2 linked regions of the Cricetulus griseus genome follow. The protein of the gene in region 1 binds, or shares a complex with, the protein of each later gene. Links are inferred from orthologs where the notes say so. Each region holds a gene or a part of one and is shown in the gene's direction. Other genes may lie near its edges. The genes, in order: Btk and Birc2.

Region 1 (4,416 bases):
ATCCTTAAAAGCAACATAGTTACAATGCTTTTCTCTTAGAAAAAGACAATTTATTTGTAAAATTTTATTGTATGATCATGAGTGTTTGCCTGTGTGTACATATGTGCAGCGTAAGGATTCAGGCATTATGCTGTCCTGCGCCTGTCACCTGGCAGAATGCACTCAGGCAGTACCCTGGTCAGCCCAGGGTTCCATGATTGCGTAGTCTGCATGCAGGTGCAAAGGACCCCTTTAAAAAGAAAGACCCCGCCCACTTATGCTCTCTTTTCCGGTTCTCTTTTTCCAGCTCTCCCTGCTCTTCTCTCCCTGCTCTCTCTTTCCAGCTGTCTTCCCCGCGGTTCCCCTGGGGCAGGCAGGACGTTTCCTGTCTCCCTCTTCGTTTCTGTCCTCTCTGTGTGTCTCTGCCTCTTTACCTCTTTTCTTTTTCCTTCCTCCTCCCTCCCCTTTCCAATAAAACTTCTCACTTAAGCTCTGTCTGCCTAGCATGTCCGTCCCTGTCCCCCTGCCACCCTCCCCCTGCTTCCCGCCTGGTCACCCTTGCCTGCCATGGAATCCACCAAGGTCCCCCATGCAAGGTTCCCTTCAAGCTTTATCGCAACATGTACCACTTGCATGTCTGGTGTCCATGGAGGTCAGAAGAAGGCGCCGAATATCCTAGAACTGGAGTTACGGGTGGGTGCAAGCCATGGTATGGGTGCTGGAAACGGAAGGCTGCAGGTTACATCACTTTTACCTGGTGCCATCTAAAGGGAATCATCTGTGGAAACCGTAATGGGAGCGAGAGCCGAAGCACTAATATACTGTAGTAAAACGGTTTTCAACTTGGAAACAAAGCTTCACTCCTTTATAACCCAGACAGTAAGGCATGAACTAAATCAGTCGAATGGCAGCTATTGTGTGTTCATGAGTACAGGTGAACCCACCAATGTTCTTTTGTCTACAGACCTGAATTGGTCAGCTTTTGAAAAAAATTACATTTATTGTTCAGGAAACTGGGAACTGAAAGTCCAGTATCTGCCTTAGTGAAATTCTGGTACCTGAATGATTCCTTCTGAGAATATCAGGGTCAAGAGTTTCACAGACATTTTTGCCATTTACAGATTCTGGCCGTGTGTCATAAAAAGGTTAAGTAGTTTAGAGTGGTGTCTAGACATTGCTAAACAACCTAGTATATGTCGTGGATTATCTAGAACATTGGTTCCCTTATGTAAGAAGCCAGGCTTTGTTCAGTGTGCATTCACTGATTCTGAAATTTGACAGAGTTGGGGACTTTGGAAGAAGGAGGTCAGGAAAAATGTTTCCTTGCTAGTGTTGCACGTGAGGGTTTCATTTAAAACAGGTAGCAGGGCAGAGGTAGAACCAGGAGGGATTAGAGATGACTATGCTAGATCCTCAAAACCTTGCATTATCCACAGCACCCAGGTGAGATCTGGAGAGAGGAAGCCATGGCTGCAGTGATCCTGGAGAGCATCTTTCTGAAGCGCTCCCAACAGAAAAAGAAAACCTCACCTTTAAACTTTAAGAAGCGCCTATTTCTCTTGACTGTGCAAAAACTTTCCTACTATGAGTATGACTTTGAACGTGGGGTAAGTTTCCCAAACGTGAAGTCTGGATTTCTCCATTTCAAGGATTGGATCTTAGATATGTGAGACATGAGATAGGTCATCCATGGTAGAAGGGGAGGTGTATGTGGGGGTAGAAATAAAATAGACTTAAGTACTTCAAACTCTTAAAAAATATTTCTTAGACTGGGAGTAGGTGCAGTCAAGCCAGGGAAAAATTCAAGAGTGTTAGAAGCTGTTCAGAGTGTCTTCCATGGAATCTTGCGGTTGGTAAAAGCTCTTTACATGCCTCTTGAGAATACAATCCAAGGATTCAAAGTTGCCTTTTTTATTTCTATTCCCTGTTGTCATTTTGTTTGGTTTGGTTTTTTGGTGGTGGTGGTGGGTTTTTTTGTTGTTGTTTTGTTTTTTGTTTTTGTTTTTGTTTTTGTTTTTTGAGACAGGGTTTCTCTGTGTAACAGTCCTGGCTGTCCTGGAACTTGCTTTGTAGACCAGGCTGCCCTCGAACTTACTGAGAACCCCTGCCCTTCAGTGCTGGGATTAAAGGTGTGTGGCACCACCACCCAGCCTGCCTTTTTTGTTTCTTGTGACGAAATTGACTATAATCATTTATTCTTCCTTGTCATCTTCCTCCTATTTGGTATTTAAAGACTAGATAAATGTTGGATTATTTTTTACTTTAAAAATGACAGGTTTTGCCAGGTACAATGGCACACACTAATGCCAGCACTCGGGTCTACATAGTGAGTTCCAGGCCAGCCAGGGCTACATAGTGAGACCCCAAACAAAGAGAAACCAGGATCTGTTAGAATATGTGAGCTACCTACCACAGAGGATGATAAGATAACAATGTGTGTAAACGTCTGAACGCTTGATCATTCTTAATCTTCCTGCGTTTTCTTCCTCCTTCCTTCAGAGAAGAGGCAGTAAGAAAGGTTCAATAGATGTTGAGAAGATCACCTGCGTTGAGACAGTAGTTCCTGAAAAAAATCCTCCACCAGAAAGACAGATTCCGGTAAGAAGCTAGTGTCAAAGAGGGGGAGCTGCAGTTTGTAAGGCGCTTGGAACTTGCAAATACTCCAAATAGAATGGTGGTGTTGTAGTGCATTGTAGAACAGTTTTGTTTCTTTAGAAACTCTTCATCAGGAGCCAGTGAGATTGCCAAGTGGGTAAGGGAAATTGCTGGCAAGTCTGATGACTTGAGTTCTATCCCTTGAACCTCACACAGTGGAAGGAGAGAACCAACTCCTGAAAATTGTCTGCTTACCTCCACATGAGAACTGTGGTACGAGTGTGGACACACACACACACACGAAACACATAGAAAGCAAAAATGTAAGAAAGAGAAAGAAAGGAAGGAAGAAAGAAAGAAAGAAAGAAAGAAAAGCTTGTCATTTAGGCAATGGTTCAGTGGTAAAGTGCTTGCCAGGCAAGAATCCCCAGAACCCACCTAAAGCCAGACCCAGGAGTGTATTCGCACCTGAAATCTCAGCCCTCCTGTGGCAACATGGGAGGTGGAGACAGGAGAATTCTAGAAACTCAAGGTCCAATTAGTCTGGCATATGCAACGACTGAAAAAGTGACCATGTCTCAAAGAAGGTGGAAGATGAGGACTGACACTGGAAGCTATCCTCTGACCCCCACAGGCATGCTCTGGAAAATAAGTACGTACAGACAGACAAACAGACAGACAGACAGACAGACAGACAGACAGAAAGAGAGAGAGAGAGAGATTAAAAAAGAATTTGCCAAAAGAGAATTTGCTTGCTTTTTTTGAAAATATATTTTATTTTTAATTGTGTGTGTGAGTTGAGTGTGTGCATTGTGTGTATACAGAGGCCAGTGTGTGTGTGTGTGTGTGTGTGTGTGTGTGTGTGTGTGTGTGTGTGTGTGTTGAGTGTGTGCATTGTGTGTATACAAAGGCCAGCGTCAGATCCCTGAGTTAGAATTTCAGGTGGTTGTGAGTGGACGTGTCTTCTTGGGACCAAGCTTGGATCCTCTGGGAGAATAGTTATGTACTCTTAACCAGTGAGCCATCTTTCCAGCCCGAAAAGTCTTCAGTCTTCCATGAATTGGTGATAACAAGTCAGCTTTATTCTTCCTGAATTCCCAGGCTGTTTCCAAGGAATAGCACCGGATGATTACTGAATTGATTTTTTTGTCATTTTATTTTTCCTGTTTATAAGATTATGCATATCTAGGATAGAAAATGGAAAAATATAGAAATCACAAAACTAAGATAAAAAGATATATAAACCCATTATTCATTTAAATAATAATTATCATTCTGGTATATACAGGTTTAAATATGTTTTCTCCACTAGCGATACACATGCACCTATATATTATATAACTAGAATACAATGCTACTATATATCTTGCTTTGCAAGCTACCTGTATTTTTGGGGGGAGGGAGTTGGCATTTTAGATTTATTTATTTATTTTCTGGGTGTGTATATGTATGTATAAGTGTGTGTAAATGTATGTAAACCTGTTTGTGTGCATGTGGAAGCCAGAGGTCCAAGTCAGGTAAGTGTCTTTCTCTGTCCCTCTCCTTCTTCTTTTCCCTTTAAAATGTTTTAATTAATTATCTATCTGTCTATTTGAGACTATGGAGCCCCCTGAGTGCTAGGATTAAAGGCGTGCATCAGCATGCTTGGCTAAACTTTTGATGTATCTATCTGTCTGTCTATATGTAATCTGTCTATCAATTTCCACTACGGAGTTCCTGGAGAGTGAACTCAGGTATTCAGGCTTGGTGACAAGTGCCTTTACACTCTGAGCCAGTTATTTGGCCCTTTATACCTTATTTTTTGTTCTGTTTTGTTTTTTTTGTTTGTTTGTTTTTTAGGCA
Region 2 (4,482 bases), on another chromosome or scaffold:
GTATTCAGTAAATTCTGAAGCTTCTGAAGTTTGGTAATTGGAATTTTCCCGTATACTTAAGTAGACTCACTATCTTGTGTTTTGGTCAGGACAAGAACTGAAAAAGAGACCTACTCTAGAATTCAATGTGCACTATTCTTGCTAGAGTCCCACAAGTATTAGGAATTTTTTTTAACTTTCCCAGAAGTAGTGACTTGAACTAAACACTGGCATCCATGTGTATTTTTGGAAGGCAGCCACTGGGAACCATGACACGTCTTTCCTCTGTATCACAAAAGTACAAATACTTTCTTTTTACTCTCACCTCCGTTCTGTGACTGACCTATTGGCAGGCAGAAAGACGGGGAGAGGCAATGGGTTCTGGAATTCCCCTTGGCTGCCTAATCTACTGGCCTGTTATTTCTAAATTTTTGAAATGTTTGTCCCCTGGAGTTCCCCGGAGCGTTTTGATTTCATTGGCTAAGACTAGCCCAAGATAAATTAAATCATAAACCACTCCCCCACCCCCGTCGTGGCGTGCACTTCAAATCCCAGCACACAGGAGGCTGAAGTAGGATGCTAAATCCTACACCAGCCTGATCTTTTCTCAAACAAACAAATAATAATAATAATAATAATAATAATAATAATAATAATAATAATAATAATAATAATAATATAAAACCCGCAAAAGCAACCCCAAACAGCAAACACAACACATCCAAACAGGAGGGCAGGCGGGAAAAGCATTGGGAAGTCCTTCCTGGTGTGCTAGTGTTGGAGGGGCGGCGGAGGTTGGGGTGGGGAGGCAGTTTTTTAAATTTATTCTTCCACAGTTTCATCACACATAAACAACACACTCTGACCTCACTCTCCCCCATTATACTATTAACCCTCCTACTATGCTTTTTCCTTATCTGTTTGTTGCCTGCTGCGCGTATTAAAAACAAAACAATGTGTAACTGCCTCCCCGCCGCAAAGGTCTCAGGCAGCCTCGGTGAGTGAGCCTGGGTGTGCAAGCCTGGGTGTTGGGCCTCGGTGTGCAAGCCTTGCTGTGGTGGACTCGGTGTGCGAGCCTTGCTGTGCTGGACTCGATGTGCGAGCCTCGGTGTGCAAGCCTGGGTGTGCTGGCCACGGCCGGGCGCAACTCCTGGGATTTGCGGTGTGCAGCAGACGAGCCCACTTGTCCGTGGGCCCATCTCACAGAACATCTAAGTCCAACACGCACACGTTTTACTCAGGGGCCCGAGGCCAGGCTCGGCAACGAAGCCACGTTTGCCATGGTGGCGGGCTGAGGCGGGAGAGCGCCCGCGCGGGCTTTTCCGCAGGGTTTCCCGAGCCACGGGCGGCGGCTCGCGGTTGCCACCCTGAAGGTGCAACCGCCAGTTAACACACAAGGCCGACCGCCCGAAACTCCTAGCGGAAGGAGAGTGCGGGCTCGCCCGAGGGGCGTTGGCGAAGGCCCAGCCCTGCTCCGGTCCCGGACAGCTAGGCCCGGATGTTCGGCTTCTAAAACCTGAATGCGCAAGCGCAAGCGCAAGCGCAAGCGCAAGCGCAAGCGCAAGCGCATGTGCAGTCTCGCACGGTTAATTTAGTCCCCTATCGCAGTGGGTGCGCGCCGTGTGTCGTCACCACACGCCCGCCACGCCCCTCTGGCCCCGGGGGCTTTCGGGAAGGCTGAGGGTGAGCAGTAAGGGTTTGCGGCGTCCGTGTCCTTCGACTCCGCGGTGAGTGCGGCTCCCTCCCTCCGGCGAGGCGGGCGAGCGGGCGAGCAGGGCCCTCGGCTCCCCGAAGCCAGCTCAGCCGGTGTTGTAAGAACCCCTGTTGTCAAGGCCGCCCGACCACCGCTCGCCTCCCGGCCCTCGGGCTTGGACTTGCTTTCCAGTTTTGCTTTCTTTTCCTTTCGGTTTATTTATTTATTGAGTCAGCTTAGGCTGGTCCCCAGCTCGCGGCCATCCTCCTGCCTCAGTCTCCCAAGTGCTGGGATTACTAGCACGCACCACCACGCCCATCTCGCAGGGCTTTAAGCTTACCGGTGGCATTTCTCTACTGCCTTTAAACCGAGACGTTTCTCATGTATTGGGGTGAGCAATAACTGCGTGGTTGGCTGAATAGGGAAGCGCGTCTTTTGTCACTCTGACCCAGCGTCACCCCTCTGCAGCGTGCACAGAGAGCAGGCACTGGCTGCAGATGAGCACCGGGTGTGCAGTGGAAGCCTAGTACCAGGCCAGTGCTCCACAAGCAATTGTACTTTTCACTTTTGAGATTGTTTCAGTGGTGGCTGCGCTGGCATTGTTAGGGAATGGTTGTCCTTAACGGAAGGAAGGCGTTAATGAGCTCTTCCAGACTCCTGGGTCTAGGCCAGTTCAGTCCCAACTAGATCAACTGCTCTGCTGGCAGAGCGTTTCATCCTGCCTTATCTTCCTAGTGTTCAGATTGAGATTGCAAGCGGGCCTCGGAAATCTTTCTGTTGAGATGCTTCTTCCTCCTCCTGGTCCTCGTCCTTCTCTTCCTCCTTTTTTAGTTCTTTCTTTAACAACTGCGATGATTAAACCCGGGTCCTTTACTTGCAAGGCAAAAGCCCCAACACGGAGCTGCATCAGCAGCCCCCGCAGACTGTCTCCCCACTACCCACAGGTGCTCTCTGTCTCCAACCAAGTACCCGATCAAAATATCTTTAAATCAGAAAATGAAAGGAGCCTGGCAGTAGTGTGGTCCCAGTGCTTGGGAGGCCAAGACAAGAGAATGCCAACAAGTTTTAAAACCAGCTAGAGTTACATTAACTTTCTAGCCAGCCTAAGCTACAGAATGAGACCCTGTCCCTGCAAAAAATAACTGAAAAAAAGATGACTATGAAGTATGGTACATTTTGTGTAACAATAAATAAACAGTAAATAAAATCACAAATGTGAAATCGGGGACCAATTTTTCTTCCTTGATGGAAATTTCCATCTGACTTTAAAGTTTTACGTTTTAAAATGTACAAAGCTGTGCGCTTTAAAGACAAGCATAGTTAGTGCTCTGGGAAGTCTTCTGCACTCACGTATTTTGATTTAGACCTTTTCTAAGTAGAGTGGTTGGGTGAGAAACTGCTGTAGTTAGGATGTATTATCTACAATGAGTCATTTTTTAGATATTACTGAATAAATTGAAGAGGTCATAACTGGTATATAATTAGTTTTATAAAAATATCTTTTTTTCCCTTCCAGATGTACAGCACTTAAGAGTCTCCATTTCCTCCGGTGTTTTCCTAGAAGTAAACCTAGTCATGCAGATCTGAAAATTTTTATAAAAAATGCAGTTTGAATTCTATGGAGTGTACTTTTGTGTATGAATAGTTATATAAAATATTGAGTTCTCAAAAAAGAAGGCTAGTTAGTAAGGTACTTCGTGCAACAGGAATGCTGTGGTAAAACAGGCTTGTTAGGTACTTGTGGTAACAGAAGAGAGAGCTCTGTCTTCATAAAGTGGTTCATCTGTAATTATAACAGATGTAGTGAAGCTAAGGTGGACTTTTAAAAATGCAGTCTATCAAGTTTATGGACAAAATACTGTGTTGACCAGATATATTAAAATAATAGACACAGGAAGGATTAAGGTACTAACACATAAGATTTAACAGGTGAGATTAATAACAGTTCAAGCTTTAAGTAAAGGTCATTCACCACGCATACTGTAGTCTTAATAGGTGTGTTAACTTCCCCAGAAGGTAACTGAGATTAGTATAAACCACTTCAGGAAATACTGTGATGATGAGCTGTGGGAAATTAGCTTTTAGGAAATGTAACCATGTGGAGAATTTACTTACTTGTATTTGGTAGACAATAGAGTAGGTTTGGACCTTATGTTAAAGTCCTTATAAGGTGAAAAAGCCTGCATATAATTTTTCCAATATAGTCAGCACCTGACTCAGTATATCTTGACTACATAACTTTTTTTAATGAAAGTAAATTATGGTTAAATAGCTCTTGGGTTACCCAAAAGGGTTCATATGATCCTAGAGTCCTGAGTAGTGTAGTATTTTGGGAAATGAGACAGGTTTGTCCTATATAAGGGTGAACTCATATAAATGCAGTCAGGTGTAGTGACTTCCACCCAGTTAGGATCTGTCTGTGGTAGAGATCTTACTTAGTGTGAAGGTGTGAGAAGCTTCACAAAGGCAGTGTAAGCTTTTAGAGATACTCTCACTACTCATGCACACAGCTCTCTCCCAAAGAGTTGTCCAAGGTACCTTACGCCAAAACCCCACAAGTATAATGGAAAATAGCACAACCCTGCCAGACTGGACAAGAGAGAGCAAAGAAAAAATGAAGTATGATTTTTCATGTGAGCTGTATAGAATGTCCACGTACTCAGCTTTCCCCACGGGAGTTCCTGTATCGGAAAGGAGCCTAGCTCGAGCTGGCTTTTACTATACAGGTGTCAACGACAAGGTCAAGTGCTTCTGCTGCGGCCTGATGCTGGACAACTGGAAACAAGGCGACAGTCCTGTGGAAAAGCACA

Evidence for each region.
Region 2: the proteins of Btk (region 1) and Birc2 are in contact, whole or in part, in a crystal structure (PDB 6W7O), measured with the Homo sapiens proteins. The link is inferred for Cricetulus griseus from reciprocal best matches to the Homo sapiens genes BTK and BIRC2. Residues at the interface, in NP_000052.1 of Homo sapiens: Leu483, Asn484, Arg487, Glu488, Tyr551, Ser557, Lys558, Arg562, Lys595, Met596, Tyr598, Glu599, Arg600, Phe601, Thr602, Glu605; in NP_001157.1 of Homo sapiens: Pro280, Ser281, Ser282, Asn301, Asp302, Asp303, Arg314, Cys315, Glu317, Ser318.

Annotation. Positions count from the first base shown.
Region 1 is NC_048604.1:45,526,048-45,530,463, forward strand, and holds the start of Btk (tyrosine-protein kinase BTK), read left to right. Parts: upstream 1-1,445; coding exon 1,446-1,586; intron 1,587-2,478; coding exon 2,479-2,577; intron 2,578-4,416. UniProt on the Homo sapiens protein: Non-receptor tyrosine kinase indispensable for B lymphocyte development, differentiation and signaling. Binding of antigen to the B-cell antigen receptor (BCR) triggers signaling that ultimately leads to B-cell activation.
Region 2 is NC_048597.1:122,217,888-122,222,369, reverse strand, and holds the start of Birc2 (baculoviral IAP repeat-containing protein 2), read left to right. Parts: upstream 1-1,564; 5' UTR 1,565-1,706; intron 1,707-3,188; 5' UTR 3,189-4,172; coding exon 4,173-4,482. UniProt on the Homo sapiens protein: Multi-functional protein which regulates not only caspases and apoptosis, but also modulates inflammatory signaling and immunity, mitogenic kinase signaling, and cell proliferation, as well as cell invasion and metastasis.